Linked DNA regions of Stegostoma tigrinum. The protein of the gene in region 4 purifies or fractionates together with the protein of the main gene of each other region. This does not show direct contact. Links are inferred from orthologs where the notes say so. Each region holds a gene or a part of one and is shown on either strand. Other genes may lie near its edges. The genes, in order: kinesin-like protein KIF3C, kinesin-like protein KIF3B, kif3a and kifap3a.

Region 1 (7,320 bases), on a different chromosome or scaffold from region 4:
CTCCTACACTTTTTATAGTCATCTAGGGATTCATGAACCCCATAGCTTAAACTCAATGTAAGCCTTCTTCACTTTCCTGACAAAAGCCTCGACATCCCTTGTTAGCCAGGGATCCCTAAATCTTCCAGTTTTCCCTTCACCCTCAAAGGGGCATTCTGTCCCTGGACTCTTGATATTACAGTTTTAAAAGGCTTCCATTTGCCAGGTCATTCCTTTTCCAGCAAAAAGACTCACCCAGTCGACCTCTTCTAGATCCTGCCTAATGGGCCTAAAGTTGGCCCTGCTCCAGTTCAGCACCTTAACCTGGGGACCTGTCCTATCATTCTCCATAACTATGCTAAAGCTAAGAGAGTTATGGCCACTGGACCCATAGTGCTCTTGGAGTGACATTTCAGTCACTTTCCTGACCTTGTTTCCTAAGAAGAGGCCCAGTGATGCACCCTCCTGAATAGGGCCCTCTACACAATAATTTAGGAAACTTCCTTGGACACATTTGACAAATTCCACCCTGTTTGGACCTTTTACACACTGGGTGGCCCTGTCAATACAGGGGAAATTAAAATCTCCAACCAGTGTGACTCTATCATTCCTACAGGTACCTGGAATCTCTCTACATACCTGCTCCTCGAGTAGCCACTGGCTATTTGGGGGTCTATAATACAGTCCCAACAGAGTGACCATCCCTTCTTGTTTCTAAGTTCTAACAATATGGCCTAATTTGATGACCCCTTAAGAATATCTCCTTTAAGCTCTGTTGGTATGTCCTCCCTTATCAAAAGGGCAACTACCCCCACCTCACTTATTTGTACTTCTTTCACGCCTGTAGCTTCTGTATCCTGGAACACTGACCATGTTTCTATTATGGCCATAATATCTTAGTCCCCAGAGCCAATGCATGCTCTGAGCTCATCTGCCTTACCAATGAGGCTTCATGCATTGAAATAAATACATTTTAAACTGGAAGTCTTTTCCCTCCCTTTACTGTACCCCTAGCTATCCTGAATAGTAAACTTGCTCTCGATGGCTAATGTATTCTCCCCAAATTCTCAATGGACCCTTTCTTATTCAGATTCTCATCCCCTTCAACCCCCACCAAAATAGTTTCAACACTACCAAATCTCCCAACGAAGAAATTGGACCCCTCTGGTTCAAGTGCAACCCATCCCTGAGGTACAGGGCACCTCTCCCACAAAAGAATTGCCAATGATCCAAGAACCGAAAATGCTGCCTCCGAAGCCAGCTCCTCAGCCATGCATTCATCTGGCCTACCTTCCTATTTCTATCCTCACTTGCACATTGCACTGGGAGTAATCTGGAGATGACTACCGTTGAGGTCCTGCTTTTTAACTTCTTACCAAACTCCCTATACTTATTTTGCAGGATCCCATCCCTCTGTCTACCTGTGTCATTTGAACCGATGTGCACAATGACCTCTGGCAGTCAGCTGAGCCATTCCTCAAACTATTTGACAGTGCTACCAATTACTGGAATGTTTTGTTGAAGATAATGAGCCAATGCCGATTCATAATGACATTTGCATTTTGTTGAAGGCATCAAAGAGCAATATTGAAGAGTCTAGCTGGTAGGAAATGACAGTGGTGAACACCAACTTATTCAAATTGTATTTTTCAGCTGATTCATGTCTGAGGTAGCAGGCTGAGCTCAAAGTATATTCTAGTGTTTGACTCATTATTCCAGTGCTGGGACCTGGATATCATCTGAATATAATTATTTACAGGTCTTCTGACTGACCAGATGTTTGACTCATTTTCTTCCCTTTTATTACCATTTCTGTCCGAATGAGTTACGTACCCACTAATGATAATGCAAAAACCTGCAAAACTGCAGCTGAAAAAAGTTGTCTCAGAGCTTAAGGATTGTCCTGAAGCGAAAAAAAAGATTATTTATATTTAAGGAGTAGAATTTTTGATTTGATTTTCAATTTCTCCACAAAATGTCAATTGTTTTATGATACCGACCCCTCCTCTCTACACGCCCTCCCTCCCAGTCCTCGTGAAGAAAACAAACAGAATTCCTGGCCTCCATCACAGCCTGGGAGATAATCTCCCTTTCAAATCGTCACACATTTAATCACGCTCCGGGTTTTTAATTCTTTAAATAAAACTGTTATTTGTTTACAATTTGAAAGTAACCGCTTTCTCCGTTACCTTTAATGTAAACCCCAGTTTCTGGTTTTTCCTTCAGCTCCAGCTTTTTGTTCTCATCCTTGTTGAGGAGATCCCGGATCTCCTCCTGGTAGATCTCTAGGTAGGAAGCCCTCACCAGGTACTGTTGGTCCTGGGATCGCGAGATATGGGTGAAGATGTGTTCGAATGAGTTGGGAATGATGCCCCTTTTCTCCGGCTCGGCCCACACTCCCTGCATGGTGTAGGTTTTCCCTGTGCCTGTCTGCCCATATGCGAACACGGTGCCATTGAAACCCTGCAGCACTGAGTCTACCAGAGGGCGGACCGTCTCATCATAGAGCTCACTCTGCCGGCTGCTGCTCTCATAGACCGCATCAAACCTGAAGCTCTTGGGCAGCTCCGTGGGACTGCCTTTGGGGTTTCGGATAGACACCTGCCCCAGGTTCACATCCATCTCCACGATCCGTTCACAACCAGCCGCTTCTTCTTTCCCATTCATTGGGCGGCACCTAACTACCACCTTCACCGACTCACAAACCTTCGCCTTGGACATTTTGTCTTGTTTTCTGGCTTTGCTCGGAATGCAGTCTCCCTCAGCCTGGCACCTTTCACTGGCTGTATTGTCTCTGCAATAAAACAATGCACCCGCTCCGCATCATCACATTCAGGGCTGCAGCCTGCAGCTTACAGTCCCAGACCGAGCTGTCCTTTAGCCGGACAGGGTGGAGACACAGCGGAGGCTAGCTGGCTGCGAGCTTCTCCCATTTGCAGCTGACAACGCCTTTGTCATTGGGATGCTGCAGGTTGTGTGATCTCAGGCTCTGGGGCTGGAGCACAGCCTGACTGAGACGGTGCAGGTACAGACAACGCCACAGGAGGACGCCCCAAACGTGCTCAGTATCCTCAGGCTGGGTCCGCCCTAGACATGCACAGTCTGTCGGGAAATGGAGTTATTGCTGTAGTGTGGAGATTTGGAAAACAAATGCGAATGACTTGTCTCCCCTTTCCACAGTGCTACTGCGCCAATCTAATGGCAGGCCATGGGTTGGTTGATGCTATAAATTACAGTCAGGAACTCGGAATATTCCAGAAATTAGACTTTCAAAAACCCCATTGACAATGACAAACAAAATTCTCAATTTATAAAGATATGGATGGAAATGTTGATCCGTTTGTTCATGATGGAGACAACTAGCAGCTCTGTGCCACGTTAGTATTGCCTATTGGAGTGCAGTCACAGCTGTTAGGTCGGAAAATGTAACTGCCAGTTTACATCCAGGTAGGCTCCAAATGCCCCAAATAAATCACCACAACCATATTTTTTTTGTATGTGGTGATGTAGGATCAGGGACAAATATTCAGCAGCACACTATGAACATTCTCTGCTCTTCTAAATCTTTCATATCGACCCCAGCAAGCAGATCAATGACTCATCAGATGTGAAGGACTTGATTTTTATATCTGTACCACTATTACCTGTCAGTACTTTATAAAGCATCTCCAGTTTGGCCACAGTGAAAGTCCTTTCATAACATTCTGAAATGCTTTATTGTTAATAACTGCATTGGTTGTAAAAGTGCAATATGTATACCTCAACTCAACACCACTAGCAGCATACGTGTCATTATTTATCATCTGGCCAATGACAATAATTCATCCCTTTCTACTAGTGGGGCAAGGGGTGTTATTCAATAGTGGTAAACCATTAAATGTCAAGGAGCAGTGGTTAGATTATCTCTTATTGAAGACAGTCATTGCCTGGCATTGTCTAGCACAGATGTCACTGCTACTTTTCAGCCCAACCCGAGAATTTGCTGAATTTGAACATGGAGTGTTTTTGTCTCTGACACAAATAGTGCTGAATGTGGGGGATGCAAGAGCTGGGAAATTAGGATCAATGATCCTGGCTCAGGACTTTTGGCAAACTTACACATTTACATTATCTCACTTGATAGAACCAAAGGAGACAGTGAAGTTCAATTCCTTTTATTGTCCTTGTGCAGAAAGAGAACTAAGGCTGGCTTGTAATTCAAGGCTATAATATAACCCTTAACTCTATGTGTCTATACTATATATCATAATTAAGATTCAAAGAAGCATTAAGTGAAACATATTTGAATATTGCATTTCAGTCAATTTAAATCTCCATAACAATCCAGGCATATTTGTGGGATTTTGGCTGTGACTGATGCATAGGGCAAAAGCCAGCAAGAACAATGACACAGGAGGGAAATTCACTAATTAATTGGAAGGTAAATTCTATCCATTCTTTACTAAGAGATACACACTTCAGTGAAGGAGGTTTTCTAAGAATGAAAGATGATTGTAGCCCTTGGAGTAGTGCCCAAGGTGTTGCAGCAAATTTTATTTGGCTGCCATCTTCAACTCAGCAACTCCTTATTCTCACTTTTCTGAAGTGATGGGGTTGAAGGGGTGTGGTGCTATTAGGTCTTCTTCAGGTGTGAACTTAGCACCATTTACGAGGACAACAAATAAGCAGGAAACTTGAAGAGTGCAGCTCTAAGCTGTTAAAAGAAACATAAAAACATAAGAACTAGGAGCAGGAGTAGGCCATCTGGCCCCTCGAGCCTGCCTCATCATTTAATAAGATCATGGCTGATATTTTTGAGACTCAGCTCCACTTACCTGCCCACTCACGATGACCATTAATTCCTTTACTGTTCAAAAATTTATCTAGCCTTGCCTTAAAAACATTCAGCTTCAACTGCTTCACTGGGCAGGGAATTCCACAGATTCACAACCCTTTGAGTGAAGAAGTTCCTCGTGATCTCAGTCCTACATCTGCTTTCCTTTATTTTGAGGTGATGCCCTCCAGTCCTAGTTTCACCTGCTAGCAGAAACAACCTCCCTGCCCCCACCTTATCTGTTCCCTTCATAATCTTACATGTTTCTATAAGATCTCCCCTCATTCTTCTGAATTTCAATGAGTATAATCCTAGTCTATTTAGTCTCTCCTCATAATCCAACCCTCTCAACTCTGGATTCAACCGAGTGAATCTCCTCTGCACCCCGACCCGTGCTAGTATATCTCTTCTCAAGTAAGGAGACCAAGTCTGCACACAGTACTGCAGGTGTGGCCTCACCAGGACCCTATACAGCTGCAGCATAGCCTCCCTGTTTTTAAACTGCATCCCTTGAGTAATGGCAGACAAAATTCCGTTTGCCTTTTAAAATCACCTGCAATCTCACCTTCAGTGATTCATGCACAAGGATACCCAAGTCTCTCTGCACAGCAGCGTGCTGCAATTTTTCACCATTTAAAACATAGTCCATTTTCCTGATATTCCTACCAAAATGGATGACCTCACACTGATCAACATTGTACTCCATCTGCCAGACCTTTGCCCACTCACAGACTATCTATATCCCCCTACAGACTTTCCGTGTCTTCTGCACACTTTGTTCTACTGCTCACCTTAGCGTCATCTGCAAATTTTGACACACCACACTTAGTCCCCAACTCCAAATCATCTATGTAAGTTGTAAACAATTGAGGTCCCCAACACTGATCAGAGGCACACCACTAGCCACTGACCGCCAACCAGAAAAATACCCATTTACCCCGCTCTTTGCTTTCTACTAGTCAACCAATCCTCTATCCATGCCAATACATTACCTGTAATACCGTGCAACTTTATCTTATGTAGCAGCCTTTGGTCTGGCACCTTGTCAAATGCCTTCTGGGAATCCAGAAACACCACATCCACAGGTTCCCCATTGTGCACCATGCAAGTAATGTCCTCAAAGAATTCCACCAAATTAGGTAAACATGACCTACTCTGCTATTAACCTTCTTGCCATTAGTTTTGGGCAGGTTATTTGTGTCTTTCACTGTGGAGACCGACATAAAATGACTGTTTAGTGTCTCAGCTATTTCCCTATTCCTAGTTATTAAATTGGCCTCCCCATCCTCTAAACACCAATGTTTACCTTTGCCACTCTCTTATAATTTACATATTTATAGAAACTTTTGCTGCCTGTTTTTATATTCTGAGCTAGTTTACTCTCATAATCTATCTTACTTTTTTTTTATAACTTTTTTTGTGGCTTTCTGTTGGCCTTAAAAGATTTCCCAGTCTACTAGTTTCCCACTGCTCTTTGCTTTTTTTGTATGCGTTTTTTTTTCAATCTGCTACTTTCCTTTATTTCCTTAGACAGCCATGGCTGGCTCTCTCTTTTCCTACAGTTCTTCCTTATCACTGGAATATACTTCCGCTGAGCACTGTGAAAAATCGTTTTGAAAGTCCTCCACTCTTCCTCAATTGACCCACCATAAAGTTTTTGCTCCCATTCTAGCTTAGCTAACTCCTATCTCATTCCTTCAAAGTCTCCTTTGTTTAAGCACAGGACACAGCTACTGGATTTAACCTTCTCATGCTCCAACTGTATTTTAAATTCGTCCATACTGTGATTGCTCCTTCCGAGGGGATCCCTAACTGTGAGATCATTAATTATTCTTTTCTCATTACATAGGACTAGATCTAGGTTAGCTTGCTCCCTCGTAGGTTCCATTACATGTTGTTCAAGGAAATTATCGTGGACGCATTCTATGAACCCCTTCTCAAAGCTGCCATGACCAACCTGATTTGACCAATCGATATGTAGATTAAAATCCCCCATGATAATTGCTGCACCATCTTTACATGCATTAGCTATTTCTATGTTTATTGCCTGCCCCACCACAATATCATTATTTGTTGGCCTATAGACCACACCTATCAATGACTTCTTCTCCTTGCTATTCCTAATTTCCACCCAAATGGATTCAATGTTTTGTCCAGTAGAACCTGTATCATCTCTCACTCCTGCCCTGATAACATCCTTAAAAATCAGAGCAACACCACCTCCCCTACCTTCCTGTCCATCCTTCCGAACAGTTTGATACCCCTAGATATTTAACTCCCAGTCATGACCATCCTATAACCATGTCTCTGTAATGGTCACTAAATCATACCCATTTGCCATGATTTGCACCGTCAACTCATCCACCTTATTTCGCATGCTCCGAGCATTCAGATAATATGCCCTGACGCCAGTTTTTGCACCTTCTTTTTGGGTCCTATTACCTCCATTACTAACAACTCTTGAGTTCTCCTTTCCTTTAACTTTATTTCTGATTTTCAATGGAGTTGAAGCTTCCTTGTCCCCTGCT
Region 2 (7,191 bases), on a different chromosome or scaffold from region 4:
CTATATGTTAATAAGGTTTTTAGTCCCAAATTGTCCCCAATTCCCATTTTTGCAACATTTTTTCCTTTGTGTCCATGGAAGACTTTAGGATTCACTTTAATGCTGGCAGCAAATCTCTTTGCATGTTCACTCTTAGATTCTTCTATTTGCTTTTCTATAAATGGATGGGAATTTCTAAGGAGTAGCAATCTCAAACAGATTACCACTTTGCTCCTTTAATACTTGCAGTGAAAGAGGTCCACCTTTCTGTCAGGAGATTCTGAATAGGGCTCCATAAGAAATATGGAGCCATACTTCCATCATTCCATTACTCAGAACAGTCAGGGATAGGTAAACCACACTTGCGTTGTCCTATTCTGAAATCTAAAGGTCCAGCAACACAGACAGTGACATTGACAGCTCCTATGAAAGTGTAGTGTGGGGGGAGGGGAGGGTACCAGGTGGCAAGGACGACAGGTAAGTGATGGAGTGTTTTAAGTAGGATCGGGGTCAAGGCAAGATATTGAGGCCGGCATAGAGCAGGGATTGTGGTGTCTGGTCCCAGAGGGATGAGAGGATATTGGTTCCTGGGAATGGGGGTGGGGCTGGCAGCAAGAGAGTGATGTTTGGATGTTTGGGAGGTAGGGCAGTGGTGTTGAGTCAGGGAGAGGCAGAGTTGGGTTCAGCAGGAGGTGATGAGGAGATCAGATCTGATGGAAGGGCAGTATGTGTTCAGGTCTAGAGCAGGAAAACAGGGGTCAAGTTCTGGGGGATGGTGTCGAATCCTGATCTGGCAGTGGGGCAGAGTGATTCAGGTCTAATGACAGAAGAGTTTGGGAATTGGTCTAGCAGTATGGGAAAGGGCATTGGGCTCAGAGCAGAGAAAGGGATTGGGTCTCAGAGGATAATGATAAAGGCCAGGGGGAGGTATATTTGGGTGTGTGTGCATTACGTTGGGAAGGTCAGTCTAACAGTTACTTATGTGTTAGCTTAGGTATTTAATGCACTACCTTTCCTGATTAGCTGTTTACTAAACGCAGTAGAATTGGTACCTTTGCTTTATTGATATGCATTAATAAACAATTGCCTCTTGGTGTGCAGAGGGCAATTTCATACGTTGTGAATGATTCAAAACTTGTAAGCTTTGTAAACTGTGAGGAGATCAAAAGGAGACTTGCAAGTTATTGGAGTGAACAGATAGATGGCAGTCCACTGCAGAGGTGTGATACATTTTGGTACAAAGAAGAGGGTAATTTAGAGTAAACAAAAGGCCCAAATCTAAAGGAGTGGAGTAAACTGAGTATATATGTGCGTAAAGTCATTGGAGGTGGCAAGACAAGCAGAGAGCTGTTAATATAGCAAATAGAATCCTAAACTTTATTAATAAAATATAAAATTCAGAGTATAAGTGCAAGATGGTTATACTGTACTTGTTTAAGACACTGGTTAGAGCTCAGCTGGAATATTGTGTTCTGGAGCCACACTTCAGGAAGGATGTGAATGAATTGGAGAGAGTGCAGAAGAGGGTTACACAAGTTTGATTTGATTTGATTTGATTTGATTTATTGTAGTCATGTGTACCTAAGTACAGTGAAAAGCTCAGTTTGCAAGCAGTACACACAGATCATAGCAACCAAGGACACAGAGATCATAAGAGTTGCTGATGCTGGAGTCAGAGATAACCCAGTGTGAAGCTGAAGGAACACAGCAAGCCAGGCACCATCAAAGGAGCAGGAAAGTTGACATTTCAGGTCAGGACCCTTCTTCAGAAATCGAGGTTGGGGTTGCGAGAAGGGAGTTCAAGTAAATAGAGAGGAGGGTTGGGGCTTGGGAAGGTAGGTGGGATGGTGATAGGTGAGTGCAGGTAGGAAGTGGTGGAGATTGGCCAGTGACATGGGAGGAGGGGATAGGTGGGAGAGAAGATGGACGGGTTGTGTCAGGTCAAGGAGGTGGGGAATGAGAGGGAGGACTGGTCATGGGGTGAGGCCAGCCGTGGGGAGATTTTAAAACTGGTAAAATCCACATTTAGGCCATCAGGCTGTTGGCTCCCAAGGTGGAATATGAGCTGCTGCTCTTCCAGTTTCTGGGTGGCATCATTGTGACAGTGGAAGAGGCCCAGGATGGACATGTTACCCAGGGAGTGGGAGGGGGAGTTGAAATGGTTCACAACTGGATAGTGTTGTCGTTGGTCGCAAACAGAATGCAGGTGCTTTATAAAGCAGCCTCCAAGCCTCCGCTTGGTCTCATCCACATTGGGAGCAGCAGATGCAATTGACCGCATTGATGGATGTGCAGTTGAACCTCTGTCTAATGTGGAAGGTTTGTTTAGTTCCTTGAATGAAGGTGAGGGGGTAGGTGTAGCACAGGAAAGGTGCTGGGTGTGATGGGGTTAGTGGGGAGTATGGAGTGGACGCGGGACTCACAGAGTGTGCAGTCCCTATGATAGACAAGTAGGGGTGAGGAGGTAAATATCTCTTTGGTTGTCAGGTTGGATTGTAGGTGGCAGAAGTGGGGGAGAATGACACATTGGATACGAAGTTTAGTGGGGTGATATGTGAGGACAAGGGGATTATGTCTTTGTTTCCATTCAGGGAGGGGCTGTGAGGGCAGAGATTCAGGAAATGCAAGCGATGTCGTTGAGAGCATTTTCGACCACCAAAGTAGGGATGTTACGGTCCTTGAAATAAGAGGACATCTGGGATGCTCAGGAGTGGAATGCCGCATCTTTGGAGCAGACACAGTGGAGGATTGCATTCTTGTAGGAAGGTGGGTGAGAGGATGCGTAATCTAGGTAGCTGTGGGCTTAAAATAGATGTCAGTTTTGAGGCAGTCACCAGAGATGGAGACAGAGATGTCCAGAAAGGAGAGGGAGGTATAGAGATGGTCCAGGTGAATTTGAAGTTGGGGTGAAAGGTATGAGTAAAGTTGATGAACTGTTCAAGCTTCTTGTGGGAGCATAAGGCAATGCCGATACAGTCATCGATGTAGCAGAGGAAGAGGTGGGGGATAGTGCCAGTGTAGCAGCGGAAGAGGGATTGTTCCACATGTCCTAGATATAAATCATAAGGTGCTTAGACAGTGAGGCATACAGATTACACTGCATAGGTGGTGTGCAAAGCAAGATCAACATTAATAAGATCAACATTATTTGAAGTTGGAGAATTGATTCTTCAGTCCAATAACAGCAGGAAGAAGCTGTTCTTGAACCCATTAGTGCATGTGTTCAATCTTTTGTGTCCTCTGCCTGACAAAAGAGGTTGTAGGAGAGCATTAGCAGGGTGGCTGGTGACTTTGATGATGCTGGCAGCCTTTCCGCACAAGAAGAAGGATAAGCAGAGTCCATAGATGGAAGATTGGTATCTGAGATGGCCTGGGCCATACACACAACCTTCTGTAGTTTATTTTACAGCTTTGGGCAGAGCAGCTCCTGTACCAGGCTGTTATGCACCCAGACAGTATGCTTTCTATGGTGAGGGTCCTTATGGACTTACTGAATTTCTTAAGCCACCAGGACAAATAGTTACAGCAATAACAAATCTCAGTTTTGATGTAACATTCGAGAAGTTTGGATTGTTTTCCTTGGAGAGGAGAAAGCTAAAAGGCAAGTTAGGTAGATGATTGAAATACTATGAGAGGACTGGGCAGAGTACAGAGTGAGAAATTGTTTTAATTTGTAAAAGAATTGAGACTAATAGGCTTAAAATAATGTTCAAAAGAAGCAGATTCAGTGTGAGGAAATCTCTTTCACAGTGACAATTTAGGGTCTGGGATGCAATGCCTGGAAGTATGGTGGAGGCAGGTTTAATCAAGGCATTCAAGAAGCCAGCAGATGATTATTAGAATAGAACCTTTGCATAGAATTACATTTAAAAAAGGGAGAGCTGCACTCGGTCATAATGTTTGATGGGCCAAATAGCCTCTGGGGTTTTCCAAGTGAAGAAATTGAGTTGTGTTGCAGTTAAAGAGGGAAGCGTTTTTATATATAGCACTGGGATAGCTCATCTCTGCTGTTTTTTTGGCTTGGAGGCGGCGTTAGAAAAGGCAACTGTTGTCCTTTGTTAGAAAGTGTGTCATTTGGCCGGAGAGCATAGTGATCAGAGCAATCTTGAAGAGCTCCAGCTCCGGGTGGAATCCTCCTCAGGGTTTCGGCTCCGACTCTGAATCCAGCTCCTTGTTTTCCTTCTCATCCGGGACAGTGTCGCCAGCGCCGAGTCTCCTGCGCTAATGGTTGACCGCAGCTGAGGAGCAGGTAGAGCCGCAGAAACGCTTTGACCCGCCTCCTTCCCGAGTGAGGCTGCTCGCTCTGACCGATTCGGGGCAAAGTGGGTGTTCAGGGCCGGATTTAGCGATCCGGCTGTCCGGGGCTCCGGAGAGGGCGATCGCTGCCTGTGTCAGCTGGGCGGCCGGGCGTCTTGTTTGTCCGTTGCTAGGCCGCTGGTGATGGAGAGGCGGCAGCCGACGGGAAGCCCAGGTGAATGCGGGGCAGCAGAGTGGGGCACGCTGCAGAGCCCGGCCAAAAGGTGTGGCTAGACCAGGCCAGCATGGTGTGTCCGGTCCGGGAAATGTGGAAGGCTGGTATCCGGTTCGGAAAATTTATGGATGTGAATGGGGACGGAGGGTGTTCGTCCCTGGAAATTTGTGGATGTGAACCGGGAGGGAGGGAGTCCGTCCCTGGAAATTTGTGGATGTGAACCGGGAGGGAGGGAGGGAGTCCGTCCCTGGAAATTTGTGGATGTGAACGGGGAGGGTATTTGCCCCAGGAGTAAAGGAGGAATGTCTAGTCCAGGAGTTATGCCGACCTGTACTGGGAAGATGAAATCAAAATGTAATGAAGTGTGGTCGGAGAGACCAGCTGAGGAGAATTTCTGAGAAGAGCATCTGGCTCAGGGATGATGTGTTTGAAAAGTAGGGTATGGAGGGTGGGAAGCAGGTGGAGATGAGGGGACTGGTAGGCTTGTCCATAAATATTACGTTGTTAAGGGATGAAGAATGAAGTGGCCGGTACAAGAGTGATGGGAGTGGTGAATGATGGTCTTACAATTGCCTCGCTTTGGGTGTGGTGAGAGAGCAACATTTGGGTAGGAGTGATGGGTGAGAGTGTTAGGTACAGGGAGCGCCTGTCCTTTGCTGTTTCCCTTTGTCGTTCTATTACTGTTGTAATTTGGTTTACTGTTAGCCAGTTTTACATGTTTTAAACACTGAATTTTGAATCATTACTCCAGTACACACAGTTATTTTTGCTGTAATATATTGTAAATTCTAAGTTTTTTAAAATGTACTTTGTGATATGTTCATGTTTATCTAAATGCACTATGCTGATGTTTGAATTACTTTAAAGGCACTCTCATGGTTTACTGAGTTCTTATTCATGGCTGCGTGACAGTAATTGAAAAAGCAGTTGCACAGAGGTGAGTATAACTCTACCGTATATCTGGTTATCGTAGTAACATAAAGTTTAAGGTTTCCCTGGAAACAAGCTCATCTTGGGAGCATGGCTGAAAATGAGTTCAGTGCACAGTCTTCATTTGCAGTGCATGCAGCTTATTCCTATAAAACTTCTTCAGTTTTCTTTCATTTGCAATGTAATATCAGTCAAAGTTTTAAGAATCTATGTAGTGATTTCACTAAGCTTAAAAAAGACGTCCTGTGACTCTGGCATTGCTGCAAGGATTAAACTACATTGTCTCTGTTGCAGTGTGAAGCCAGATTTGTATCTTGTCTTCCAAACGTTAATATATAGGGTGTTCAACAGAGAGACATGATCTTAGTGGTTTTGTTGCTTCTGTAGTAATTCAGAGATCCATGTCACACTCGGGGGAACATTTATCTGAAATCCTGAATCTTTCCACAAGGTGAAATTTGCATTCAAACAAAAGTCTGGAATTAGAACTCCAACAATGACCATGAAACTATCATTGGTTTTTGTAAAAGCCCACCAGGTTCACTAATGTCATTTAGAGAAGGAAATCTGCTATCTCTACCTGCTCTGACCTATAGGCAATGGAACCAGTTGTAAGCAATGAGGGAATTCCTTGTCCCACTGTATTTTTTGTTTTATTTCATGAGGAAATATACAGTCCAGATCCTAGGACTTACGTGGTGCATGCAGTGTCCCTATCACTTAACCAGGATGCCTGAGTTCAATTTCCACTTGCTCCAGAGATGTGTAATAACATCTTTGAACAGGTTAATTAGAAAATAACTGGAAGTTGTGGTAGGGACATGACCCCTGCACCACAGGAATCCTGGATTTCATATTTACTCATAAAATAAAACTAATATTACGCAATGGGACAAGGAATTCCCTCACTGCTTACAACTATTTCCATTGCAATGTGAAGGCACAGAATCGACAAACCTTAATTTCACTGAAATTATTATTATATATTTCCCAGATTTCTGTGAGGGCTACTGATTCTCCTTAGAAATTGAGCTCAAATGAGTTCTTGCATTTTGATTCACTTGTTATATTGGCTCTATTTGGTTTGCACTGAAACTGTAGGAGACAGTGAAAGAATTTAACTTGAGTTCTCTGATTCCTATTTCTCTCAGGGCCTTTTCTTAGTCCTGGGAGTGTAATTAGTATGAAATCAAGATTCTCACGTGTGGTTCATTGTAATTTGTTCCTCTTAGATTTCCCTCTGTTTCTTAAATGACTACTCTTTCAATGGAGGGAGAGTGCAAAATTTGTACATGGCCAAAAATAGTTTTCTATGATTTAATTTAGTTTTCTATAATACTAATGGTTGTGACTGTAATGGTTACTTTGTTTGTCTTCCTCTATCCAACAAATATGTTTAACCCCTTGAACAGAGCAACAATATTTTTGAGATGAAATTTGATTTGTGTTGGAATAACTCTGGAGTTAAAGACTCCTGAGAAAAATTTAAGTTTGTATTTTGTATCCATCCTCACTGTAGAGGATACGGACAACATTCCAGAAGCAGCAAGTTATCACGAAATAAAAGGAAGGAAGGAACTCGGCAAAAATGTCAGCCCACAGCTGCAACAGTTTACTCGATATTATTTCTCTGGTGATTACAATCTTCACTGAGTTCCTGGATCCCATTGAACTTCATCGTAGAGTTTTGAAAGTAGCTAGTGAGATTGCTGATGCATTGGTTTTAAAATTTGAAAGTTCCATTGATTCAGGGATGGCCTAATTTGGTAGGAAGATAGCAAATGTATCTCTCTCTCATTTTAAAAGTGAAG
Region 3 (7,786 bases), on a different chromosome or scaffold from region 4:
ACATCACCAACTACAAGTTCCTCAGCTAGCCACTCACCATTCTGACCTGGTGATGTCTCCATTCCTTTGTTCCTTCAGTATTTCCATTACTTCATTATTACTGGGTTGAAATCCTGGAACTACCTTCCAATAGGATAAGAGTGTATCAGAACTGCAGCAATTTAAGAAAGTAGCACACTACCAGACTCTCCAGGGTAAATAGGAATAAGCAATAAATGCTGGACCAGCCTACAAAGCCCAGATTTCCTGAATGATTTTTAAAAAATTGTACTGTGGTCCAGTGCATTTTTAAACTGACCCATAGCCAGAGAAATCAGGCCTGACAGAAAATTGGCCAAACTAAATTAAACAGTAGGCAGTAGCTATTAATTACAGAGGAGAGTGGAAATCAACATCAAAAAGTTTAGAAAAGTTCAGGGGAACCAGCAACAACCAGTCTGAAGATTGATACATTTCCAATACACAATCAGCTATTTTTGGCATCTTGACTGCCTGAACATATGCACTTTACACCTCCTGGCATTACAACAATGAATGGTGTTGGTGTGACCTCACTGGGTGATTGAACCCAGCTCATGACCCCATACTACATATAGCCATACAACATTCGGAAAGTCAAGGGCAAGGAAAGTTAAGAACACAGACCTGGATGCCACCCCATAAAGGAAGACTCAACCTGGTCTAGCAGTGGAGCTCCAACCAACTGGAGTAAGAGAGAAGACCTGCCCCTACCTACAATACCCACCTTCATGAAAGGGAACCAGCCCTGCATTGGCGAGGAAGGAGAATCCAGCTCAAATACCTGGATCGTTGCGGGTAATATCCTTTCTCAGATGATAGACAAATAGTTAACATAGTGGGAGTTTGAGAAATGCTCATGTGGTGTTTTTAATAGGGAAATGTATTGTTAACAAAATTGAGCTGAACTGCAAACAGAATCTGTGTCTCTTTGTTTGCTTCACTGACAAGAGGTCTTGGGTAAAATGTTTTTAGTACATGAACTGGTCAAAGTGTTCAAAGAATGGACAACAACAATTTTGAGTAACATGCATATTGTTGTATTTCTATTTCTTTTTACTGTAACAGTGTATTATTATGTGGACTGCATAATATGAAAAGACATCTGTGACTCACTTGGCAGTTCCCTACAGCTAACTTTTAAAGCCGTTCTGTGCTCTCAGCAGCCATCAGTGTAAAATCTGTGCTTAAAAAATCTATACTGATGTAGATGTGAGAATATTTTCCCTCATGACCTAGATTTGAGTCTACATCAGAGTCCTGGTGCAGTTGGGAAGCTAAACCTGTGTGGTTTCCCACTGACGTAGCCAAATCTCAACTATTCCATGAGTGTTGACTTCATATTGCAAATACAAAATATCTAAGGTCTCTAAAGCATGAGAAATACTTCCCCATTTATCCATAACTCTAGAAATGCATGATCTTCAGAGTGATTGGGCTGATTCAGCAAGATGCTTTCGAACAAATAGACAGCAAAAAAACTATCTTGTCAGTCATTACACAACAGTTCAGGACCTGTAAAAGACTCTACAAGATTCTAGAAGTTAGCAAACAACAGAATCAGATATACTTTTGAGGTCAATATAATTTCTCCAAATTTTGCTACATGTCAACATTTCAGAATATTTTGCAATAAATAAATGCTGAATGGTTTTCACCCAGTAAATCCAATTCTATTGACTGTCAGCATGATTCAGCACAAAATGTCCAAGCCTTTTTGTACATAAATTCAGCATGGTCAATAAGATAAAAACAAAGTACTGTAGATGCTGGAAATCATAAAGATAAAGTGCTGGAAATACCCAGCAGGTCCCCGGTAATAAACAAGATTTAATGTTTTGGCTAAAATCACTGTCAATTCACATTCAAGTTATGAGGTGAAGTATGACACTATTCACGACTACATTTCCTTGACAATATGTTTATCTGAAGAAAGCAGCATCACACATCTCCGTTTTTTACCTCCTAAACCTCCATGCCTCAGCAGTCTTTATTTCTGTGTGTTGAAGTACTTAATGAAACAGTAATTTTTACCTGTGTATCCTTATTAATATTATTATTGTTATTACTACTATTAGCAATGATGCTTTTTAACCCACTTTGAATAAGTCATATTTGACTTAAAGCATTAATTCTTTCTCTTTCCATAAGGGCTGCTAGACTTGCTAGTGTTTCCAGCACTTTCTGTTTTAATATCTGCTGTGTCACTGTGGTTTACAGTTATTATATATTTGGATGAGTAATCCAGAAGCATTGATTAATAATGCAAAAAATCGCATTATGTGAATTTTGTACTAGAGTACTGGAAATAAGAATTGGTTTCAAAAAAAGTAATTCTGAAATTCTGCATCTAAACGTACAACTAATTCTAGATTTACAACTGCATGAAAATCAAGGCTAATAGGCCATGATATGCTGACTTTTGGATAAGCTGTTTAATTTTTGCTTCATGGTGAATCCAAATGATCCCATGACACTATATCAGAGGAGATTTCTCCAGTGTCCTGGTCAATATTTATCCCTAAATCTGCATATCAGAAAATGATTTCATCACAGTGTTGTTTGTGTGAGTCTGCTGCAGCAAATTGTAGCCTGGTATCTTCATGTGCAAAAAACAAAATTAAATGATTGCTAATAATTGAACAAAAACCTACTAACTCAATCAGAGCAGTACAGTGGATCAGTGGCTAGCACTGCTGCCTCACAGCACCATGGATCCAGCTTCAATTATACCCTTGGGGGAACGTGTGGTGTTTTCACATTCTGCCCGCATCTGCGTGAGTTTCCTCTGCATTATCCAATTTCCTCCTACAGTCCAAAAATGTGCAAGTTAGATGGATTGGCCATGGAAAGTGCAGGGTTGCAGGGACTGGGATACCCTTCAGAGGGTCGGCGTGGATTTGATGGGCCAATTGGCCTGCTTCTACACTGTTGGGATTCCATTCTTCTCATCATGTAAACATAACATATGGAGGAACAACTTCTCTGTCTTCTGTATACTAGAATCATAAAATGATTTTTTGAAAAATGAAATTAATTTATTCTAAATAATTAACAACAAAATACCACATAAACCGAGAAGATCACAGGCCGATTTCCTGATCTGTACTAAGGCTGGATGTTGTATTCAACCTGGATATAATTGGGTTGCAATTGGTTTCAGTTTTCCTCAGCAATGGAAGGAGAAACTTAATCCATGATTTCTTTTTACTTTCAACAATCCCTGCTGGAAATGTGCTTGCATGTGTTATATAATGACCAGATTGAATTTTCTTAAGATTATTCCACTGGTCCATAAGCTGACAGGTGATCAGACTCAGGAGGTACTGAAGAGCTAGTACTATTATATAGTAAATTTGAATGAACAATTTGGTGAAAAGTGAAAGTCAAATATGCACCTTTGTATGTGTCAATGGGCTCATTGACAGTTATCCCTTCAGATGTTCAATACCAAATCTTTGGAGAGACTGAAAAACTATCTAAGGTCACAAACTGGAGACCTTGGCAGTGTTTAACAATGGAAATGAATGACATATGTGTTTCAAAGATAATGTAGCAGAAGGAATTAATGCTCACACTCCACCCATATTGAACACCACTCACTCTACTGATGTCACACATAGTCTGTAGGTCAAGACAGTTGCTTGCCAGCCCATTTAAGAGGAGAGTTAAGAATTAACCTTATTGCTGTGGGTCTTTAATGCATCTCAGCCAGACCAGATCAGGTATGGTTGGTAGATTTCCTACCCTGCAAGACATTAACTTATAAGATTGTGTGCTTTTTTACAGTAACTGGAACACCCACTAACATCAAGAAGAAAAATTCCTTGCAGAATCTAACTTTGCCATCTTTATTTAGAAGTGATAAGCAAGGTTGTACAAAAGTGCTCGGCCCTGAGAAAAATCCATATGTAAACTGACGTAACTCTATATGTGGAAATTAGATCTGCACAACTGCATCTATCAGAATAAAAATGAACCAATTGAATTGAAAAACCAGTAAGAGCATCATGATCAACGTTGGAATGATTACTGTTCTTAGACAAAGAAATTATGTGACATATTGTTTTATTGAGTATAGAATTATCATCTTAAGAGATCACACTATGTTTGAAAGCATTTAACATAAAATACTAAATTTCATTTAAAATAATGTAATCAATAATTAAATTGATTTGACAAATCTAGCACGAACTATACCACTGGTTGAAATGGGCAGGTCGGTTGTCTTGCCTGTTATGTGTGGCCGCTAGGATTCAAATCTACCCCAGTGTCAAGGAGAGGAAATCTCTTCAGCCTACTGCTTGCGTTTATTTGAAATGAGTTTCAGCAGTTTCACTCTTGTTGGCACAAAGCCATATTTGCAAATCTTAGTCAGAGAAACCACAGGCACGAGCGATTATGATAGATGCAGCTGTAAGCTTGTGGTTGAAATGGAAAGTGCTTCATCCCCCACCATCCTTCATAAAGTTATACAATTAAAAAATCAATGTATACAGATTAATTGTGTCTTACCCACTCAGCTACCTACACAAATCTCCCTCTTCCTCTTTCTTCTGCGGGGCCATTGTTAGTTCTGCGGCTTGTTCCCTCTCTGTCTGTCAGCGGTGGCCATGGAAACCAGACGCGCGCCATCTTCCATTCTGATTCGTGGCGGCGCGCAGAGCCCCGCCCCTTCCCCGAGGCGGGCCCAAGCTATTCGACACCGATTGGCCAATGCGGACCGTCAATCAAGTATGGGGGTGGACCGTCCGTGTGTCGCTGGCAAGTGAGCATGCGCAGAGCGGAGTCGAAAGGGAATCTCGGGGGTGGTTAGGCTCGAGCTCTTTGGGGTGAGCAGGAGGGAGTACTCGTGCAGGGGCGGCGGCGGCGACGACGGTCGGAGTCAAATTTGAATGTGCTCTCGAGGCCCGTGGCGACGATCAAAATGCCGGTGAGTGAGTTAATGTGAGTCTGCAGACAATAACGGCGGGCTTTGGCCGGATGGAGATATTCGGACTAGGGAGTGGGAGAAAGGACTCACGGGCCTCTGTTTAACCGCTGAGATGGAGCCTGGGTTTCAGATCTCCCGCTGGGGAGAGAGACCTCAGTCTGAAGCAAATCTGGACAATTAAAAACTCAAGCGCCCGGTTTGGTACCAGCCGTCTGCGAGCGGGGGAGGGGTGCGGGTTGGGGATGCGGCAGAAATTGGGTAGCACCCTTCGCCGTTTATTTTTCCTCACACCAGTTAAGCCAGATTCTTATTCCCCACCACGTCTGGGATCGGACTGAAAGATCGCTATATCCCTCCACTCTGATCCTCCTCCATTTATTTAAGGGAGGGCGGGCGGGCGATCAGTTGTAAGTGTACGAACCGACTCCGCCCACCCCCACCCTATCCCGCCAGGAAGGATCATCGTGATGGATTAGGTTCGAGCAGCGGGGATCTGGAGGTAGACCTGAATGTGATGTAGATATCACACATAGAGACACGCGCAAAAAGCTTGTGAGCCAAGCCCAAGCCGTAAACAGGAATCTGCTGTAAACAATACGTGGGGGTTAAGCCTGAGAAGGCTGATGACGCCCGCACCCATGTGTGTGTGAAACGGAAAGGTCTCTGAGCTTGCACAGGGTGAAGGGTTGCAATTCCAGGGCTGATGTTGCACCAGGTTTGGACGGATGGCCATGGCGGAAATATTGCCAGATGACAGGGCTTCCCTTTCCCTGAGACCCGCTACATACAACCTCCGTTCCTTCCAGTGCAGTTTAATGGGAGTGGTTCAGACTCCCCCGTCTGTATTTTGTTGCTATTCAACAACTTGTGCTAGATTTGAAGGGACAGCTACGATGGAAGATGCAGTTAAACGTTTTCTGGAGATTTGGATCCGTTATGAAGTTGGGTTCGTAAATGTCAAATTAGTACTTGCAAGTGTATAAAAAATGGTGCAGGGAAATTTACCAAAGTCCTGAATGTGACATTAAGCTTACAATGCCAGAATCCATTCACATAAACTGTTTTCCATGCTAAAGTAAATATAAGAACCAAAAGAACTGTGAATGCTGTAAATCAGAAACAAAAACAGAAATTGCTGGAAAAGCTCAGCAGGCCTGGCAGCATCTCTGAAGAGAAATCAGAGTTAACAGAATCCCTACAGTGTGGAAACAGGCCATTTGGCCCAACAAGTTTTCACTGCCCCTCCAAAGAGCACCCCACCCAGACCAATCCCCTACCCTTGCATTTCTCATATCTAACCCACCTAACCTAAACATCCCTGGTCACAATGCGCAATTTAGCATGACCAATACACCTAACCTGCGCATCTTTGGATTGTGGAAGAAACAGGAGCACCCAGAGGGAATCCACGCAGACACGGGGAAGAATGTGCAAACTCCACACAGTCGTTCGAGGGTGGAATCGAACCCAGGTCCGGGGTGCTGTGAGGCAACTGTGCTAACCACTGAGCTACTGTGCTGCCCCAAAGAAAGGTGAGACTCCTTTGAGCTGGAATTGAATCGACGACCTTTCAGGTCTGGAGACCCTTCCTCAGAAATGAAACATCGACCTGAAATGTTAACTCTGATTTGTCTTCACAGAGGCTGCCAGACCTGCTGAGCTTTTAGAGCAACTTCTTTTTCGAAAAAGAAGATGTAATTAGTTGAATCATCAGAATCACGGAGTAACCAGTACTTTGCTTTTGTACCAGCATTTAGAGTCTCAATGCAGCTCTGACCTGGACTGGAAGTGATCTGAAAGTCAAGTCCCTGTCACCATCACTTCCAGTCAAATGATGCCTTAATTTAAAAACAGAACTTGTTTGTTTTCAAATTTCTCCACCATTGGCGGCTGCACTTCAGTGTACAATTTCAGCTGCATACGTTGAAAATGGTGCAAAAGACCAATAAAGGTGATTTGGAGCTATGTGACCCTGTTATCTTATTTTCATGTTCTGTATTTATATACAGTAATTTAACTTGGTGTGCTTGGAGAGTGGCTTTTTAATATGCAGGTTAAAGGAAGGATCAAAATTACTCTAATGGTTCTCTTATGCTAATTAATTATTGTAGATTGTACTTTTATTGGAGCTTGTCCTTGTTTGTAATGGTGTCAATAAATTTCAGTATAATTAAATTTATGATATCAACATGAATCTGGATTTCAGGAATGTCTTTTCTTCAATTTCAACATTTTTTTATTTGTAAGCCTGTGAAAATCTCAGCTACAAAAGAGAGACGTTGTCACCAAGGTTAAAACCATTACTAACACAGCATCTGTACTACTCAGTCTTCGTGATGTCAACACAGAGTAACCTACATTTACCTCAGTAATATAAAACAAAGAACTTCAGTCCTCAAGATCTGAAACTAAAACAGAAATTGATGGCAAAACCCAGCAGGTCTGGCAGCATCTGGAAGAAAGCTAGTACTGTCAGTAACTAAAAGAATGTGATATTTATGTAGAAGATGAGGTTTGGGGTTGTGCGAGTGAAGAAATGTAGCCCAGAGAGAGACACATGAAAGGGGTAGGTAAGTAAGGAGATTATGAATAGCAGGCCAGGACAGAAGGAAAGCTGAATAAATAACAATAAGAGCTAGGATTAGGAGAGAATGGGTGAGCTGTACTGAAAACAACTCCTCTTTTAAGGATGGTGCATTGAAATGGCAGGAGCTGGAAGCTTTGGGTCATCTTTGCAGACAGATCATAGGTGTTCTGCAAAGTGGCCACCCAGTCTGTATGTTTGTCACCCCAGTGTAGAGGAGACCACAGTGTGTCCAGTTAACACAGTAGACT
Region 4 (7,687 bases):
CATGTGGCATAAGAATGTAAACAGGTTTAGTATTCACAGCAAAAACGAACTGCATAATTCACTATAGAAAGCAGCCAATATAAATTATATATAAGCATGTTAATCCCATGTAATCGGCTATAATGGAAAATGACCTGTCAATACAGTGCTGATTCATGCTGTACCATTGGGCTGCAGCTCATTCTCATGAATTAACATTCTGCATTACTTGCTTCGATTGCAGGTACTGTGGTAATGCTGCTAATTTGGTCAAACTGAAAAAGTACTTCAAATAAATAATACAATACAGTAAGGTAATCAATACTTGGTTGAGGGGTTTAGATGAAGTTGCCATGTGATTTGCTCTATGCTCATGTTTGCTATAATACTGTTGGTAGCACTATTGCTGCTGAGATACTGGATTCAAGCCCTACTCCAGTGCTTAAATATCAATGTTGACACTCCAGTGTAGTACTGAAGGACTGCTGCTCTATTGGAGATGCTATCTTTTGGAAGAAATGTCAAACCAAGGCCTCAATTTCATGTTTGGATGAACATAAAAGATCACTGCATTATTCTAAAGTATGGGGGATTTATCCTCAGTGTCATATTGATATGTATTTTTTAACCAACATCACAAAACACATTTTCTGTCCATTATCAAACTGTCAGGGGTGTGCAAATTGACTCATTTCTTGCATTGCAACTGCGTCCATTTGCACTTTGGAAGTGCTTCCTTAATGATAAATGTTTTGAGATGTTCAATGACTGTGAAAAGCATTTTTACTTATTTGTTTGTTTACTCAGTTGTGACAGAATAATCAACAGTAACAAATCCCAACCATGTCTGATGTGCAGTCACCTTCACACACAAAAACATTCTGGTGCCAGTTTTCTCCCACCCCTCTTACTTTTTCATGGAGACATTATCTGCTATGGGACTTATGAAGAGAGCCGTTCTTTTAATTAGACTTACAACATACAGTCCTTGTGCAGTGCTCAGCCTAAGAAGTACTCCATTTCCAGCCCTTTGGTGCACTATGGCTGAAAGGACCCAGGGAGCAACCTATCCCATTTGTGTCTCTGCTGCAGCTGCTCCAACTCTAGTGTGTCTCTCAACATGTAATTCTGGACCGTAGAATGTGCCAGTCTGCAATATTTAACTGAGGACAACTCCCTCAATGAAAGGCCAGCAAGCTTAGGGCAGACCAAAGAGCATCTTTTACTGAGTTGATAGTTCTTCAGGCACTGTTTATGATTGTCTTGGTTTACAGCCCTGAGAACAACCCATAGAACACAAAATTCCTGCATCAGAATGAAAGATGTTATATAGAGTGTTATATCTGTTTGCCTTTTGCAGTTTCAGATTTGAAATGCTTTTGCTGTTGGGTGTCTACCTCAAATGGGATGTGTCGTGTAAATATTCCGACCTTTACAATTGCTTCAAGTGGAATATGTTAAATGGAACAAGTTGAATTTTTTGTAAATATTGTGATATTGTAATTACGGTAATGTAGTTTTCATAAATGTTATTAATAATGTACATTGTTGGAATAAGCATCCTTTTAATTAGAAGAAAACATAAACAGCTCTAATACTGTGGTTTATTTGCTTCATATAAACTCCTAGTGAGTTTTGCCATATTTAATCATATGATGACCAACACATAAAGCCTTTCCCAAGTAGATTTTCGGAGTAGGTGATAATCTATCTCAAAATGCCCGATATCTTCAGCAATTTAGAAAACATCCAAATCGAAGCACTAGTGTAAATACATTCGATTTTATTTGATGGATGGGTTGTGACTCAGGATATTGGCCAACATTTACCCTTCAATCAAAATCACAAAACGCCTCATAGCTGTTCAGTATCATATTGCTGACTATGGGAGTTTTACTGTGCGCAAAACTGCCCAGTTTCCTGCATTACGCCAATACGCAATTACACGTTTAAAAGTATTTTATTAGCTGCAAAGCATTTTGCGCGGTCTAGTGGTCGTGGAAGGTGTCGTAACGATTCAAAACTGTAATCGTTCGGCTAAATTTGCTGAAACGCTGCCGCACAATCGAGTGGTATTTTAATCAATGACTGAATGATAAAACTTAGCCAATATGCTCTAAAGAATCCGAAAATATACGTAGCCCCCTTTAAATAAATGTTGCGTTTTACAATAACATTGAGCCGCAGTTTATGTTTGCTGCGATATTTTCACTCACTCTGCCTTTCCTATACGGGTATGGCAGCCATCACTCCAACTCACCCAAAGGCAACTGCTCCAACAGAAAGAGGTAACTGGAAAAGAAGTCACTCCTAATGGTTTTATGGAGAAAGAAAGACATGCTGTTGCGGCACATATCATCGTCAGTTCTGTCCCACCGCGACTTAAAAGCATAGTGGGCTTTTTTCCACTCCACCTTTTCTTCCATTGTATTTTAGAGTTTGGGATGTCGCTGGGTTTCCTCTATTTCTCCAGGTAATTTTCGGCGATTCGGATCCCACGGTGTAACTTCCCGGTATCTCTGTTCTTAACAACTTGGCGCTAGTCCTTGGACTGATCAGGCTCCGATCCCCCAAGCAGGTGCTGAAAACGCGCCTCCGTATGAACTCCAACCCTCCTACCCAACCAGCTCTGCCTACATTGATCTCATTTCAGCATATTCTGGAAATCCTAAATCCTGGTGTAAAACAAAGCTTTCGGACCACAAAACTTTGCTGAATGTGAATCTTACTAAATGGTCCATTGAGGTTTGTACAAAGTTCAAACACTTCCTGAGATTATGCAGGAAAATTGTGGTTCCGTGAGATGACAGGGAACCTAAGTGCCCAGTCAATGATTTGTGTTATGTATGCCAGTGACGCATCGTGAAAGGAGATGGATTTATCTGCGACTGAGATCCACTTCCCCTTCGTACAGTGAAGGAATTAGCAACTTCAAAAAAACATGAGCTGGGTCGCTCAGTAAGTTTGAGAGGAGAAATGCATTAGAAAAATTCACAAACATGGGAGATTGGGGAAATGTGGAGAGGCAAACTCGTAAAGCAAGACGCGTGGATTTTAATCATTTAAGACGACAACTCTACCATCATAACCTTCGGTTACATTTTCTCCAACCCAAATAACCTGTCTGAGAGATTATTCAAAACTTATTTTTATTCTTAGAGAAAACACATTTCTCATTTGTTTGATAAATGATGTGCTACAGCTACTGTTAAATGAATTGTGAAGATTACTACACATTATGAACAACTTGCATGTAAAAGAAAACTAGCATTGTTATTGTACCTTTCACGACCACGTGATATCCCAAAGCACTTTACAGTCAATGAAATATTTTATACAGTCACTACTGTCAAATAGAACATGTGGAAGTCATTTTGCACATTACCAGCCCCACAAACAGCAAATCGATGATGATCGAATAATTTTGGTGATATTGATTGAGAGATACATATTGCCCATTTTCTTGGTCTTTTTCTAAAAAAAAAGTGCCAGAGGATAGTTTACATCCACCTGAGAGGACAGACAGGATTTTGGTTTAATGTCTTACCTGAAAGCATCACAAAGGACAGAATGCACTGGAATGTCAGCTTGAATTTTTGTGATTAAGCCTTGGAATGGGACCTTAACCCACAACCTTTCTGTCTTTATTAAAATGTTTCAAGACTGTTCCTAAATGTGTATTTAAACATATTGTCACTCAGTCAAAGAAGGGGCAATTAAGAGTTATGGCTCAACGTTAATCAGAAACGATATGCTTTAAAAAAGGATAAGAGAATTGAGATAGATGGAAGAGTAGAGATTTAAGAGATTGAATCCCAGAGTTTAGGGGCTTCACTTTTCAAGTCATACGAACTAAAAGTAGGATATAAAAAGTGGAAATGAGCAAGAGACCAGAGTTGGAAGGAAGAAGAGTCCTGGGTAGCTCTCAGACTGGAGTATATTTGCAGAAGTGAAAATTGGAGGGACCCTATAGGGACTGCAGGTGAGGGACAATCAGGACTTCATGCAGTTTAGTAGGTCATCGGTGATAGATGAATACAAGACATGATATAGGCGACAAAATTTTGGATGAAAACGGAAATAACTGCGGATGCTGTAAATCAGGAACAAAAACAAAGTTGCTGGAAAATCTCAGACATAGTAGGAACTGGCCATGCTGGAGTCTGAGATAACAACGTGTGGAACTGGATGAACACAGCAGGCCTAGCCGAAACGTCAGCTTTTGTGCTCCTGAGATGCTGCTTGGCCTGCTGTGTTCATCCAGCCTCACATTTTATTATCTTAACGTTTCGGGTCCGTTGACCCTCAGAATCCGTTCACCGGACCCGAAACGTTAACGCTGTTTTTTCCTTCACAGATGCTGCCAGACCTGCCAAAATTTTGGATGAGTTGAAGTTTAAGGAGAACATACGAAGTTGTGATTTAAGGTGACAAAAGGTATGGATGAGGGCACGGAGAGTGATTTCAATCACGATATTTAATATTTCCTTTCATAGTTGGGCATTCTTTTCTCTGTTTGCACCTTTGCGAAGTTTCTGAACGTTTTGATTTGTTTTCTGTAAATGCAAGCTGTTTCTGCTGGTGACGACTCTTTCGATCGCAGTCCCGTTGACCTGGAGTTATTGTTGTTGGCCTAGTGGGGGTGCTGCAGGCGGAGTGTCCATCGTTGTCGGTTTAGTTCCGCCCTCCAGCGCAGGCTCCGCCCGCGCGTACCGCTGCGGATTGTGGGGCGGCTGCACTTGTCTCTGGTAACCCGGGGAGATGTGAGGGTGGCTTTGCTGTTGGGTAAAGTAAGCAAACAAAGAAACTGCTTTTGCAGACAGAATTGGAGCGGCCGATAAAGATGCAACCGGAAGATGCTCGCTACCTGAAGAGGTTGGTGCTGTAACAGGGGCAGGGTGTTGGTGGTTGCTTTTTTGGAAGGACCGGGTTGGGCCCAGGAACCTGCAGTCGCTGTTGTTGCATTTTGTGACTGCGGCACCTTAATCATTCTGCTGTTAACGTCTACTTCGCAGCTGCTCTCTCAGCTGTGGGTTTGACAGACATTTGTGCAGCGCGTATAATACTCTTCTCCCTTGTTGATGCTGACACTACCATAGCGTTCGTTTCAAGGTTGCTCTCAGATACATTCTATTAATGCATTCTGAATGAGTCAGCCTGGATCGTTAATATTACTATCCCCCCTTTTTTAATGGAGAGCATCATTCGCAGTTAAACTGAATCTTCGCTTACTGAGAAGGATTTCTTTTCCTACCACACCCTCGTTTGGAGAGGTCAGTTGCGTCCTATTATCACTGTCGTGATGATGATTGGGATACTCGCCAGATGAGCTCGTTGAGTGATGAGAACCAATGGTGGTTACCATCCGGGCTATTATCAGGTGGTAACTGGCGAATTTCAGGTCGTCTATAATTCTGTATTGACAGAAGTGACGTCTTGTGAATTTACAGTAAATTTGGCATTGTTTGTGATGGGGAGAGGAGGATAATGGGGAACCACGGATTGTGAACTCCAGGTTAGGAGTACTTTCTCTATAAAGTATTCAATTTGTGTCGAATAAAAGCAATCAACCTGTTATATGTATTTTAAAAAATTGTTTTACATTTATGTTCAAACAACAAATGGATAAATAACAGGTTAAGCACAGCTTATACAATTCAACTTGAGTAACAACAAATGATTGGTGCACTGTCAGTCAAAGCAGGACCAAATATTCTAATGCTTGTGACAAATACAATAGAAATAGGTGTAATCTACTTAGCCCTCAATCTTGTCCTATTATTCAGTAATAACATGGTTGTAATCTAATTCCATTTATTGACCTTTGCCCCTTATCCCTAATACCTTTGGCTAACAAGCAAATATCACACTTTTAAATTGACAGTTTATCTAACATTAATTGCCACGTGTGGAAGATGTTTCCAAACTTCTACCATACTTTGCAAAAGGACATATTTCCTAATGTCACTTCTGAAAAGTTTGAATTTTTTGACTATGCCATAAATTTTAGTTTTCCTAACTAATGGAAAATACTTCTCCAATCTAGCCTATCTGTTCACTTAATATCTTGATAATTGTAATCAAAGCACTTCCAAAATCCAAGAAACCTATTCTTAGTGTGTATAATACAAACAGAAATTCCTGGTGAAACTCAGCAAGTCTGGCACCAGCTGTGGAGAGAAAGCAGAGTTAATGTTTCAAGTCTAGTGGTCCTGGATCTTCAGCACCTGTAGTTTTTATTTTATTAGTTTATGTATTCTCTTTGTTCTCTCTTGGCATTGATACAATTCTGGGAGGTCTGTGATATGCCCCTCAAAGTCCAACACATTCATCCTGACTTCTGGTTTCCAGAACTGCTTAAAGTTGCCTAACCAGGTCTTTTTATAAGAGATAATGGGAACTGCAGGTACTGGAGAATCTGAGATAACAAAGTCTGGAGCTGGACGAACACAACAGGCCAAGCACCATCTTAGGAGCACAAAAGCGTGTGTAGATTAAATTTTGATAAAGTGTGAAGCTGGATGAACACAGCAGGCCAAGCAGCATCTCAGGAGCACAAAAGCTGACGTTTCGGGCCTAGACCCTTCATCTGATGAAGGGTCTAGGCCCGAAACGTCAGCTTTTGTGCTCCTGAGATGCTGCTTGGCCTGCTGTGTTCATCCAGCTTCACACTTTATTATCTTGGATTCTCCAGCATCTGCAGTTCCCATTATCACTATAGATTAAATTTTATCCCCTTGTGTTCATTACCCTTGATATAAATTTATGGCTCTATAAATTTACCCTCTTTATGAATGCCAACATTCCAGTAACTTTACTACCTACTTTTTGATACCTGTTTGTGACACTTCAGTAATGTGTATTTGGAATTCCTAGTCTTTATGACCATCTCAGTTTACAGCATTACACCATTTAGGGAGTATTCTGTTCTATTTCTAGTTAGAAAATGGATGAACTTGCATTTATCTGCATTGAAATCTCTTTCACCCTTTACTTAATTGTTGATAATGTCGTGGTTTTGTTTTCATGTCAACAATTACATTATCTAAATTATTGAAAGCAATGTATAATTGAGATCTCAACATACACCCTTTGGATCTTACGTGCCAATTTTTGATATTATCACCACTCTGCCACTTGTACAGCCAATTTATTAACCAGGTCAACAAATTACCTTACATTCCATGAGCTTCAATTTCAGTACAAAGACTCAACTGCTCTTTGGAAGTTCATATATTAGTGAGAATGAAGCATATTTGCAAACTAAAGTAGATTTAGTAGGGTATTTTAAGGAAATTAACAAGCACCATGCATATCCAGGATATGTGTTCACTGTAAGGCAGTTGACTTTTCTATAAAGTAACTGAATGCATTTATATTGAAATTGATAACTGAAATAATTTTTCAAATAACGAACAATGGAAAGATTATCTGGTGGTAGGAGACCTGGGGCCAAACAAAAAAAGCAAGAAAAAGTGGAAACATTTAGATTGTAGTCTTTTGCCCTGGATGCTACAGACTGGATTTTAACTGGACAGAATCACATTTACATTTTTGCCAGACTCATTCTGTTGCCCTTTCTAGACTGTTCTGATAGTCTGTGCATAGTTCCTCTCTGAAAACTGAAATGTTGGACATCTAAAAACAGCACTTTACACTTCAACGTTGTAAATTTCCAAATCGTGGTTTGCAAAATGATAATTGATAG

The links.
Region 1: the proteins of kifap3a (region 4) and kinesin-like protein KIF3C purify together in Homo sapiens (co-immunoprecipitation; 3 studies listed by BioGRID and IntAct, counting the BioPlex papers as one, with this or other methods). This does not show direct contact. The link is inferred for Stegostoma tigrinum from reciprocal best matches to the Homo sapiens genes KIFAP3 and KIF3C.
Region 2: the proteins of kifap3a (region 4) and kinesin-like protein KIF3B purify together in Homo sapiens (co-immunoprecipitation; 7 studies listed by BioGRID and IntAct, counting the BioPlex papers as one, with this or other methods). This does not show direct contact. The link is inferred for Stegostoma tigrinum from reciprocal best matches to the Homo sapiens genes KIFAP3 and KIF3B.
Region 3: the proteins of kifap3a (region 4) and kif3a purify together in Homo sapiens (co-immunoprecipitation; 9 studies listed by BioGRID and IntAct, counting the BioPlex papers as one, with this or other methods). This does not show direct contact. The link is inferred for Stegostoma tigrinum from reciprocal best matches to the Homo sapiens genes KIFAP3 and KIF3A.

The regions. Positions count from the first base shown.
Region 1 is NC_081357.1:131,544,982-131,552,301, forward strand, and holds the start of kinesin-like protein KIF3C, read right to left. Parts: upstream 3,004-7,320; 5' UTR 2,701-3,003; coding exon 2,169-2,700; intron 1-2,168.
Region 2 is NC_081372.1:26,402,623-26,409,813, reverse strand, and holds the start of kinesin-like protein KIF3B, read left to right. Parts: upstream 1-4,174; 5' UTR 4,175-4,228; exon of another isoform or gene 4,229-4,499; intron 4,500-5,317; 5' UTR 5,318-5,387; intron 5,388-7,191. UniProt on the Homo sapiens protein: Microtubule-based molecular motor that transport intracellular cargos, such as vesicles, organelles and protein complexes. Uses ATP hydrolysis to generate force to bind and move along the microtubule. Plays a role in cilia formation.
Region 3 is NC_081366.1:15,191,992-15,199,777, reverse strand, and holds the start of kif3a (kinesin-like protein KIF3A), read left to right. Parts: upstream 1-4,773; 5' UTR 4,774-4,945; coding exon 4,946-4,951; intron 4,952-7,786. UniProt on the Homo sapiens protein: Microtubule-based anterograde translocator for membranous organelles. Plus end-directed microtubule sliding activity in vitro. Plays a role in primary cilia formation. Plays a role in centriole cohesion and subdistal appendage organization and function.
Region 4 is NC_081361.1:46,861,335-46,869,021, reverse strand, and holds the start of kifap3a (kinesin-associated protein 3a), read left to right. Parts: upstream 1-4,680; 5' UTR 4,681-4,822; coding exon 4,823-4,854; intron 4,855-7,687. Other genes in the region: ntmt2 (N-terminal Xaa-Pro-Lys N-methyltransferase 2), read right to left, coding at 2,240-2,405. UniProt on the Homo sapiens protein: Involved in tethering the chromosomes to the spindle pole and in chromosome movement. Binds to the tail domain of the KIF3A/KIF3B heterodimer to form a heterotrimeric KIF3 complex and may regulate the membrane binding of this complex.